Linked DNA regions of Canis lupus familiaris. The protein of the gene in region 3 purifies or fractionates together with the protein of the main gene of each other region. This does not show direct contact. Links are inferred from orthologs where the notes say so. Each region holds a gene or a part of one and is shown on either strand. Other genes may lie near its edges. The genes, in order: HSP90AB1, TMEM259 and STYK1.

Evidence for each region.
Region 1: the proteins of STYK1 (region 3) and HSP90AB1 purify together in Homo sapiens (affinity purification with mass spectrometry; 3 studies listed by BioGRID and IntAct, with this or other methods). This does not show direct contact. The link is inferred for Canis lupus familiaris from reciprocal best matches to the Homo sapiens genes STYK1 and HSP90AB1.
Region 2: the proteins of STYK1 (region 3) and TMEM259 purify together in Homo sapiens (affinity purification with mass spectrometry; 3 studies listed by BioGRID and IntAct, with this or other methods). This does not show direct contact. The link is inferred for Canis lupus familiaris from reciprocal best matches to the Homo sapiens genes STYK1 and TMEM259.

Annotation. Positions count from the first base shown.
Region 1 is NC_049233.1:12,852,009-12,854,816, forward strand, and holds the end of HSP90AB1 (heat shock protein HSP 90-beta), read left to right. Parts: coding exon 1-132; intron 133-255; coding exon 256-524; intron 525-1,425; coding exon 1,426-1,759; intron 1,760-1,871; coding exon 1,872-1,981; 3' UTR 1,982-2,250; downstream 2,251-2,808. UniProt on the Homo sapiens protein: Molecular chaperone that promotes the maturation, structural maintenance and proper regulation of specific target proteins involved for instance in cell cycle control and signal transduction. Undergoes a functional cycle linked to its ATPase activity.
Region 2 is NC_049241.1:58,177,851-58,181,012, forward strand, and holds part of TMEM259 (membralin), read left to right. Parts: intron 1-1,139; coding exon 1,140-1,418; intron 1,419-1,930; coding exon 1,931-2,030; intron 2,031-2,836; coding exon 2,837-2,947; intron 2,948-3,162. UniProt on the Homo sapiens protein: May have a role in the ERAD pathway required for clearance of misfolded proteins in the endoplasmic reticulum (ER). Promotes survival of motor neurons, probably by protecting against ER stress.
Region 3 is NC_049248.1:11,057,069-11,060,820, forward strand, and holds the start of STYK1 (tyrosine-protein kinase STYK1), read right to left. Parts: upstream 2,656-3,752; 5' UTR 2,376-2,655; intron 1-2,375. UniProt on the Homo sapiens protein: Probable tyrosine protein-kinase, which has strong transforming capabilities on a variety of cell lines. When overexpressed, it can also induce tumor cell invasion as well as metastasis in distant organs.

The DNA.
Region 1 (2,808 bases), on a different chromosome or scaffold from region 3:
ATTCCACTAACCGGCGCCGCCTTTCTGAGCTGCTGCGTTACCACACTTCCCAATCTGGAGATGAGATGACTTCTCTTTCAGAGTATGTGTCCCGTATGAAGGAGACTCAGAAATCCATCTATTACATCACTGGTGCGTTGGAGCTTGGGTCTGATCAAAGGCTCTCAGGGTGAAAGGGAGGGAGGACATTTGGGAATCTCTGGGAACTGGCAGGAGGCGACATTCTGACCCGAGTCACACTCCATAACTCTACAGGTGAGAGCAAAGAGCAGGTTGCCAACTCCGCTTTTGTGGAGCGAGTGCGGAAACGGGGCTTCGAGGTAGTGTATATGACAGAGCCTATCGACGAGTACTGCGTGCAACAGCTCAAGGAGTTTGATGGGAAGAGTCTGGTCTCAGTTACCAAGGAGGGCCTGGAGTTGCCTGAGGATGAAGAGGAGAAGAAGAAAATGGAGGAGAGCAAGGCCAAGTTCGAGAATCTCTGCAAACTCATGAAGGAAATCTTGGATAAGAAGGTTGAAAAGGTGAGCAACTCTGGGAGTAGGGCATGTGTCTTGTAAACAAGTGCTCTCAGAATCTTGTGGCATTACACAATTAGATTTATTTTTATTTTATTTTTTTTATTTATTTATTTATTTTTTTAATTTTATTTATTTATGATAGTCACATAGAGAGAGAGAGAGAGAGGCAGAGACACAGGCAGAGGGAGAAGCAGGCTCCATGCACCGGGAGCCCGATGTGGGATTCGATCCCGGGTCTCCAGGATCGTGCCCTGGGCCAAAGGCAGGCGCCAAACCGCTGCGCCACCCAGGGATCCCTAGATTTATTTTTAAAGATTGTATTTATTTATTCATGAGAGACACACAGGCAGAGAGAGAAGCCGTCTCCATGCAGGGATCTCGTTGTGGGACTCAACCCCAGGACTCTCCAGGATCATGCCCTGGGCTGAAGGCAGGCACTAAACTGCTGAGCCACCCAGGGATCCCAGATTTTTTAAGATTTCAATCATTTATGAGAGAGGCAGAGACCTGGAGAGGCAGGTTCTCTGCAGGGACTCTGATGCAGGACCAGGACCACGCCTTGAGCTGAAGGCTGATGCTCAGATCCTGAGCCACCTAGGCATCTCTAGCTTTGAGTTTTTGAGTAGAACTCATATAACATATAGGGATCCCTGGGTGGCCCAGCGCGCGATCCTGGAGATCCGGGATCGAATCCCACGTCAGGCTCCCGGTACATGGAGCCTGCTTCTCCCTCTGCCTGTGTCTCTGCCCCCCCCCCCCCCCCCCCCCCCCCGTGACTATCATAAATAAATAAAAAAAATGTAAAAAAAAGAATTAAAAAAAATAGAACTTAACATATAGTCATTTTGGCCTGGAAATGATAATCTGATGCACCATCAATGGGAGTTTCTGTAATTGTCTACAGGTGACCATCTCTAACAGGCTGGTATCTTCACCCTGCTGCATCGTGACTAGCACTTATGGCTGGACTGCCAACATGGAGCGGATCATGAAAGCCCAGGCACTCCGGGACAACTCTACAATGGGCTATATGATGGCCAAAAAGCATCTGGAGATCAACCCTGACCACCCCATTGTGGAGACGCTGCGGCAGAAGGCAGAGGCAGATAAGAACGACAAGGCTGTCAAGGACCTGGTGGTGCTACTGTTTGAAACAGCTCTACTCTCCTCCGGCTTCTCACTGGAGGATCCCCAGACTCACTCCAACCGCATTTACCGCATGATCAAGCTAGGCCTGGGTGGGTGCCAGTTACCAGAGTGTGCCAAGGAACTGGGGAGTTGGTCTCATGGGGGACAAAGATGATTTACTGGTATTTGGATCAAAGTTCACAGGCCTTTTTTACTTTCTAGGCATCGATGAAGATGAAGTGGCAGCGGAGGAACCCAGTGCTGCTGTTCCTGATGAGATCCCTCCACTTGAGGGTGATGAGGATGCCTCTCGCATGGAAGAAGTCGATTAATTTCTCCTTGCAGACCTTGTGCCCTCTGTATAGTGTCCCCATGGCTCCCCAGCAGCCCTGAGTGGCCCCGGTTCACCTGGTTCCCTCTGCTGATGTCTAGTGGATTTTTTTTTTTCTCCTCCTGTCTTTGTTAGAGGCAGGACAGAAGGGCCTTAAGCCCTAGCCCTCATGACATTTGACAAGGGGTTTGGATGTGTATTGTGGTGTTTGTTTATTTTGTTCTGAGATTAAAGTATGCAAAATAAAGAAGATACGGTTTTATACAGTTATGCTCTCCCTTGTAAAGTGGATTTCCTGCTGCTTTTTGAGTTTCCTTAGCTTTTCTTTTTTTTTTTTTTTTTTTTTAAATTTTTATTTATTTATGATAGTCACAGAGAGAGAGAGAGGCAGAGACGCAGGCAGAGGGAGAAGCAGGCTCCATGCACCGGGAGCCTGACGTGGGATTCGATCCCGGGTCTCCAGGATCGCGCCCTGGGCCAAAGGCAGGCGCTAAACCACTGCGCCACCCAGGGATCCCTTCCTTAGCTTTTCTATCCCAAGCTTTACCTGGTCATTCTTCAGGTACATTGAAAACTAAGGTCACCCTATAGCCATTTAGCACTTTTCAAGTCACCCAACATTGCTTCTAAAGGGTAGTCTCAGACCAGCATGTGTAACACCATGCCCTTTATATCCGTCCCCTTCCTAAAGCATACACTTCAGTCAACCAAAACACCGGACTTTAAAGCCCATTGCAGCAGTTTAATTTAATAAAATAAAATTATAAGAGCAAAAAGTTACATTTCCAAGGTACCAAAACCTGCAACTGGCTCTTTGAGCAGAACCTA
Region 2 (3,162 bases), on a different chromosome or scaffold from region 3:
CACGCTGCCATCCAGGCATGGGCTCCAGCGCTCTTGTCACTGCAGCACCTGCCGTGACCTGAGCACCTGGGGCTCCAGGGCGGCTTGGGCTCTGCTCAGGGGTCTGTAGTGTCCACATCACCGTCCCGCAGGGGCACATCTGGAGAGGAGGCTTTGGAGTCAGCGGGTGGGCCCTGGCTTCAGGCGGAGCTGGGCCCGGATCACAGCAGCGTGCTCAGACACGGAGCTTCTCCGTCCCCTGGCCCCGCATCCCCCTGGCTGGGATGAGAGCATGGGGTGTCTGCCCCGTGCAGGGCCCGTGGTCCACGATGGCATGGCAGCACGTACGGGGCTTGTGGCAGAGCACAGAAGGGACAGGGCCGTGGCGTCCCTGCTGCTGGCCATGTGGCCGCGAGTAGCCGGTGTGTTGGAGGCTGCACTGGCCTGAGGAGACACAGCCCCTGGGGTCTCCAGCTCCTTGCACCCACTTCTCTCAGAACCGTCACGTCGGGCCAGCTGGGCCCTTTTCCCAAGGGCTGGGGTGGTGGCGGGTACACAGTTGTGATGCCTGGACGCGGCATCCTGTCTGGGGGAGTGACCCTTGGCCAAGGCCTCGGAGAAGGGCAACCATCAGACCGTGAGGGGGGCTCAGGGGGAGGGATGGCCCTTTTGATGCACCTACAAGGCAGCAAAGGTGCTGTTGGTGGGGCGTCGCAGGGTAGCCACTCACCCCCCCCCCTCCTTCCACGCTGCTGACAGCAGGCAAGTCTGAGGGGGATGGGGGGAGCAGCTCCCCTGGCCCCACCCACCCTTGCCAGGAGCCCCCTGCCCCATGTCCCTGGGGGCAGGGTCACCCTGGGCGAGAGCTGCACGGTCCCTATTTTACAGATGGGGACACTGCCTCCCAGAGACGCAGCAGGTTGCCCTGCCAGCGTGGGAGGGGTCGGGCCAGGCAGGCTGTGTGTAGCTGGGAGGTCAGGGCAGCGCGTGAGGCTGCTGGGCAGGCCCGAGCCTGTCTGACCGGACCCCACGCGGGGGAGAGGCCGCCCCACTGGCTCCGGGCCATTCCGGGGCCTCCCCGGGAGCGGGCTCGGCACAGCGCCTCCTGAGCAGGGCCTCAGGGTGCCTGGGCCTCCGCGCTGACCGGCTCCCGCCCGCAGGCGCTGTTCGTGCTCTTCGTCCTGGCCTACATCCACATCGTCTTCTCACGCTCGCCCATCAACTGCCTGGAGCACGTGCGGGACAAGTGGCCCCGGGAGGGCATCCTGCGTGTGGAGGTCCAGCACAACTCGAGCCGCGCGCCCGTCTTCCTGCAGTTCTGTGACGGCGGCCGTCGCGGCAGCTTCCCCGGCCTGGCCGTGGAGCCGGGCAGCCCCGAGCCGGAGGAGGAGGAAGAGGAGGAGCTGGCCGTGGACATGTTCGGGAACACCTCCATCAAGGTGAGCGGCACCCGGCCGGGCCCCTGGCTCGACTGGGCCTGCTGGTCTTGGGGCGGGACTGTGGCGGGCAGGGGCAGGGCCTTGGGCCGTTTCCCAGCCCTTCCTGGAAAGGGATTGGCCCCTTTGTGGGGACGCTTCCTAGGAGCTTGAAGCCGGTCTTGCCTGTCCTAGACAGGTGGCCACCTGTGGGGTGGTGAACGCCCTGTCACCAGAGACGTGCAGGTGGCTGCCAGCACGGGCAGGGGTCAGGCGGATGTGCGGCGCCCACGGTCTGCAGGGAAGGACTTGCTCAAGCAGCGAGAGGCTAGGGGGTCCCGTGGTTGGTGCAGACCCTTCCTTAGAGATGGCCACTCAGGAGCGTGGCTGGCGTTAGGGTGGAGCATTTGGGTGTAAGGAGTGGGGTGTTAGGAGCTGGGTGGAGGGTGTCCCCGTGGAGGCTGGAGGTCACAGCTGCAGGGGGTGGAGTGCGGGGCCCTGCAGTCAGCTGACCCCTTCCTCTTGGCACTCCGCAGTTCGAGCTGGACATTGAGCCCAAGGTGTTGAAGCCACCGGGCGGTGCCGAGGCCCCAAATGACAGCCAGGAGCTCCCCTTCCCAGAGACGCCTACAAAAGGTACACACCGCAGGCACCCGGCCCGCACATTCAGGGGAGCGGGTGACCCTCCATCTGGAGGTTGTGAGTTCGAGTCTTGTTCTTCGTTTCTACTTTTTAAAGGTTTTATTTGTGTACGTGTGTGTCTGTACAGTGTACGTATTCCAGGAGTGAGCAGAGCGTGTGCACAAGTGGGGGGCGGGGCAGAGAGAGAGAGACTCCCTGCTGAGCACAGAGCTGGACAGGAATGCAGGGCTCCGTCCCAGCACCCCGAGATCATGACTTGAGTTGAAGTCAGACACCCAGTGAGCCACCCAGGCGCTCCTGGGCAGAGAGATTTCTTAAAAATCTTAAAAAACATAACAAACAAACAAAAATTTTAAAAAACAAAAAAAATACACGTTTCCTGGGCTGAACAGGTGTGTGCAGCAGGTCACATCGGGGTCACCACCTGGGGCCGCACCCCGATGCAGAGGGCCCAAGGGTCTGAGTGGCCATTGGTGCTGACCTGGGAGAATGGCCACTCTGCCTCAGTTTCCCCATCTATCAGCACACGGGGCCGTGACAGATGCCCTGGAGCCCCCAGTAACTGGTTTCCTTCTCTGGGAGCCTCATCTGTGAGAGGTGGGCAGGGGTCACGGGGGCTCTGAAAGTCCCATGTGGTTTGTGTGATGCATGCAGGTGCTCCACCAGCCTCCCCAAGCCCTGAGCCGTGGGCGGGCCCTGCCTCTCCCCTCACTCCCCAGGGCCACCAGGAGTGCTCACCCAGCTCCTGAGGGAACAGGGCTAGGCCAGGGCTCTGAGGCTCACTGGGCTTGTCCCCACAGTATGGCCCCAGGACGAGTATGTGGTGGAGTACTCCCTGGAGTATGGCTTCCTACGGCTGTCACAGGCCACGCGGCAGCGGCTCAGCATCCCCGTCATGGTGGTCACCCTGGGTGAGTGTCCCCTAGAGCGAGGCCGTGGGGCTCTCTGAGGTCTCAGGGTCTCTTGATAGGCTGCCTGGGGGTAGCCCGGAAGCACTGGGGTCCCAGGTCTGGGGGCTGTGTCTGCTCTCCCAGCTGCAGAAGCTTCCTCTCTCCTCGGCATCCTGGGGCGAGAGGGTCACAGTGCTGCTTGGGTGGGGGCCCTGGCCACACACCCACTCTGTCAT
Region 3 (3,752 bases):
TCCCCCTGTATTTCTCTCAAGAATAAATAAATAAATCTTTAAAAATAAAAAAATAAAGGGGGGGATTTGAAGAAAGCCACGTATGCAGAAAGGATACCATATGAACATAAATAAAGACAGCCATCTCCAAGCCAAAAAAAAAGGGGGGGGGGCGGGCGCTGGGACAGAACTTTCCCTCCTAGCAATCAGAAAGAAACCTTGATCTGCCAACAGCTTGATTTTAGACTTCTAGCTTCCAGAACTGTGAGAGAATGAAGTTATGTTGCCACTCAGTTTGTGGTACTTCATTAGAGCAGCCCTAGCAAACTAATAGTGATTAAGGCTCTAAAGAAAAAGTGTATGATTTTCACTGAAGCAAAACAGGTGTTTTGTCCTATTGCCTTTTGCTTTCTTGTGCTTCACAGATCATGTGTTTCTTACAAATTGCAGGTGTGTATCAAGCTTGCATTTTTTTCCTTTTTCTTTTTCTTTTTAAGATTTTATTTATTTGAGAGAGAGAGAGCACAGCAAGGGGGAAGACTGGGGGAGAAGCAGACCCCCCTCCCCTGCTGAGTGGGAGCCCTACTCAGAGCTTGATCCAGGGACTCTGGGATCATGACCTGAGCCAAAGGCAGATGCTTAACTGACTGAGCCATCCAGGTGCCCCTAACCTTATATTTTTTTTCAACAGCATTTGTTCACTTTGTGTCTCTGTTGGTTATTCTCACAATGTTTCAAACTTTATTATTATTGTTGTTAGATTTGTTACAGTGGTCTGCAATCTGATTATGACTCCCTAAAACCTCAGATGACAGTTAACATGTTTTTAGTAATAAAATATTTTTTAATATTTATTTAATTATTTTAGAGGAGGGAGGGAAAGTTTTTTTTTTTTAATTCTATTTATTTCTTTGAGAGAGAGCATGAGCTCCAGTGAGAGAGAGAGCAAGAGTGGTGGGGAGGGGCAGAGGGAAAGAGCTAAACAGACTCCCTGCTGGGCGTAGAGCCCAATGAAGTGCTGGACACCCATCCCAGGATCCCAGGATCATGACCTGAGCTCAAGGCAGATGCTTAACCCACTAAGCCAGCCAGGCACCCCAAGAGAAATATAGTTTTAAGCAGACTCCATGCCGAGCATGGAACCTGGTGCCTGGCTCAATCTCACAACCCTGAGATCACATCCTGAGCTGAAAACAAGAGTCGAACACTTTGCCCGTACCACCCAAGCACCAGAGCAATAAAGCATTTTTAATTAAGATATGCACATTGTCTTTTTAGACATAGTGCTATTCCACACTTAATGTACTACAGTACAATGCAAACATAACTTTTGTTTGCACCAGAATCAAAAATTTCATTTGACTCACTTCATTACAATATTCGCTTTATTATAGTGGTCTGAAACCACACCCACAATACCTCTGAAGTATGCCTGTATAATTTACTCTTGAACAATGTAGGGTTTAGGGACATGGATCCCCTGAGCAGTAGAAAATAAGCATACAACTTTTGACTCCTCCAAAACTTAACTACTAATAGCCTATTCACCGGAACCCTTGCGAATAACATAAACAATCCAGCAGTATTTATTTTGTAGATTATATGTATTACATGCTGTATTCTTACAATAAAGCAAGCTAGAGAAAAGGAAACACTATTAAGAAAATCATAAGGAAGAGAAAATATATTTATAGTACTGTAATGTATTGAAAAAAAAATCCAGGTATAAGGGCACCCACACAACTCAAACCCCGGTTGTTCAAGGGTCAACTGTACCTCCCCGTGCCTCCCTGAAAGGCCTAGCTAGCCCCTCGCTGGCTGTAAGGACTGCTGAGGAGGGTCAGTCAGGTCAAGGGCACCGGGTCCAGATGCATTTTCAGTGTGTGTGCTGCACGTTACAGGAGCTTTAGTGCGTGATTTCCACACTACAGATGGCTCTCCCTAAGTAGCAGGAAGACAGCTTGGTCTGAAACGTCTGAGAAACTCAGCCGGCGAGGGGGTTCCTAGCAGAAAGGGGCCACACTCCTAGAAATGAAAGGAAAGGCAAGAGACAAAACAGGGATGAGGTTGACAGGGAGAAGGGAAAGGAGCACAGCAAAAGAGAAGACAAATTAAGAAAACAGAAATCCGGTCACCAAGGAACAGCATATCACTGCACAGTCATAAAAACCTAAAAGTCGAAACTCACAAGATGTTTTTACCAAAGAAATACAGGTTCGTTCACCTGGTGATTATTGTTCGTTTGCATAAAATTCGCACCACCGCTCACAACCGTTCCACTCTCCCTCTTGTCCTCCCTCTTTTCTTCCCAAACGTCCGAGTCTACCCCTACCCCTCCAGCTGCATCACTGCCATCCGGCCTCCACCCTTACTGCCCCCAAAGCCCAGTTCACTACCGGTAGTGTCCCTCCTCCGGCCACTCTGCTTTCGGATGCAACGGGACCAGCCAGAGGGGGAAAAGAATCATCGGTTTGGGTACGACAAGGTGTGCCAGTCTCAAGGAAATGCTTCTCGGTCCCTCCTTCCCACTGGTGGGGCGTGGCTGCCAGCAAAGGATGGAGTCGGGGCGGGCTCCCCGCAAAGGGAAATCTGCGGGCACTGAGGTTTCCGGGACTCACCACACACTGGCCAGCAGGAAAGCTGCTGAAACGGTAAAATTTACCTCGTCGCTGATCTACTCACTGAGTGCCTCCCCTCGAGACTGCTCCGGGGTCAGGTCAGGAGACGTCAGTCCAAGTGAAACGTGCAAAGGCCTGGTAAAGCGCAACAGCACCACCTACTGTCCGACCTGATCCCAGCGGCCTTCGTTGGTGCTCCAAAGGGCTCCAAAGGGCTGGTCAGGGTTTAGCCTGATGAGTCCCCTCCTGGGGTAATTGCAACCTCAAGCCTTGGCTGGGGATGCCCTAAGGAATAAATGGAAATAAAAGTATTAGCAGGTAATCATTCATTAGCATATGCTTTCTAAATACACTCTGGGCTCTCTTCTGGGATATAGCATTAACGGAAGTAGTTGTCCCTGACCTGCCCCCATGGAATTTACAATCATAGGAAACACAAAAGAGAATACACGGCTGAAAGAATTCCAAATTAGATGCTAACACTTCATACAAATTCTATTAAAGAAATGCGGGCCGCGGATAACTTAAATAGGTGGCTGGTTTGTTCAGCACTGATAGCTCGCATACCAAACAGAAAGGAGCACCTATTAGAACAGAAAGAATTTAGGTGCAGTGTAATGTGGAGTATTTAGCAATTGAGGTACTTTGGTTCTCTAGAGGCTTCTCTATTAGAGTTTTTCTTCCTTTGGAGCTCTTAAGATCGGATGAACTGTACTAAATGTCACTGAATTGTACATTTAAAATGGTTAATGGGTGATTTATGTTATATGAATTTTACATTAATTTTTTTTAAAGGGATGAGGTCTCATCGGCCAGTTGTTCTTCCTACCTTTTCTGACATGATTGATTAATAAAAGCCAAGTGAGGGATGCCTGGGTGGCTCAGCGGTTAAGCTCGGGTGGTGATCCTGGAGTCCCGGGATCGAGTCCCGCATCGGGCTCCCTGCATAGAGCCTGCTTCTCCCTCTGCCTGTGTCTCTGCCTCTCGCTGTGTGTGTCTCTCATGAATAAACAAATAAATTCTTAAAAAAAAAAAAAAAAAAAAAAGCCAAGTGAACTGACCTGACTTCGTATTATGCCATCTTCTACTCTGCTTCCCCAAGCGTCCAAATCTCCTGAGGCAGAGGCTGTAGCTTATTCATTTGTAATTTCTGCA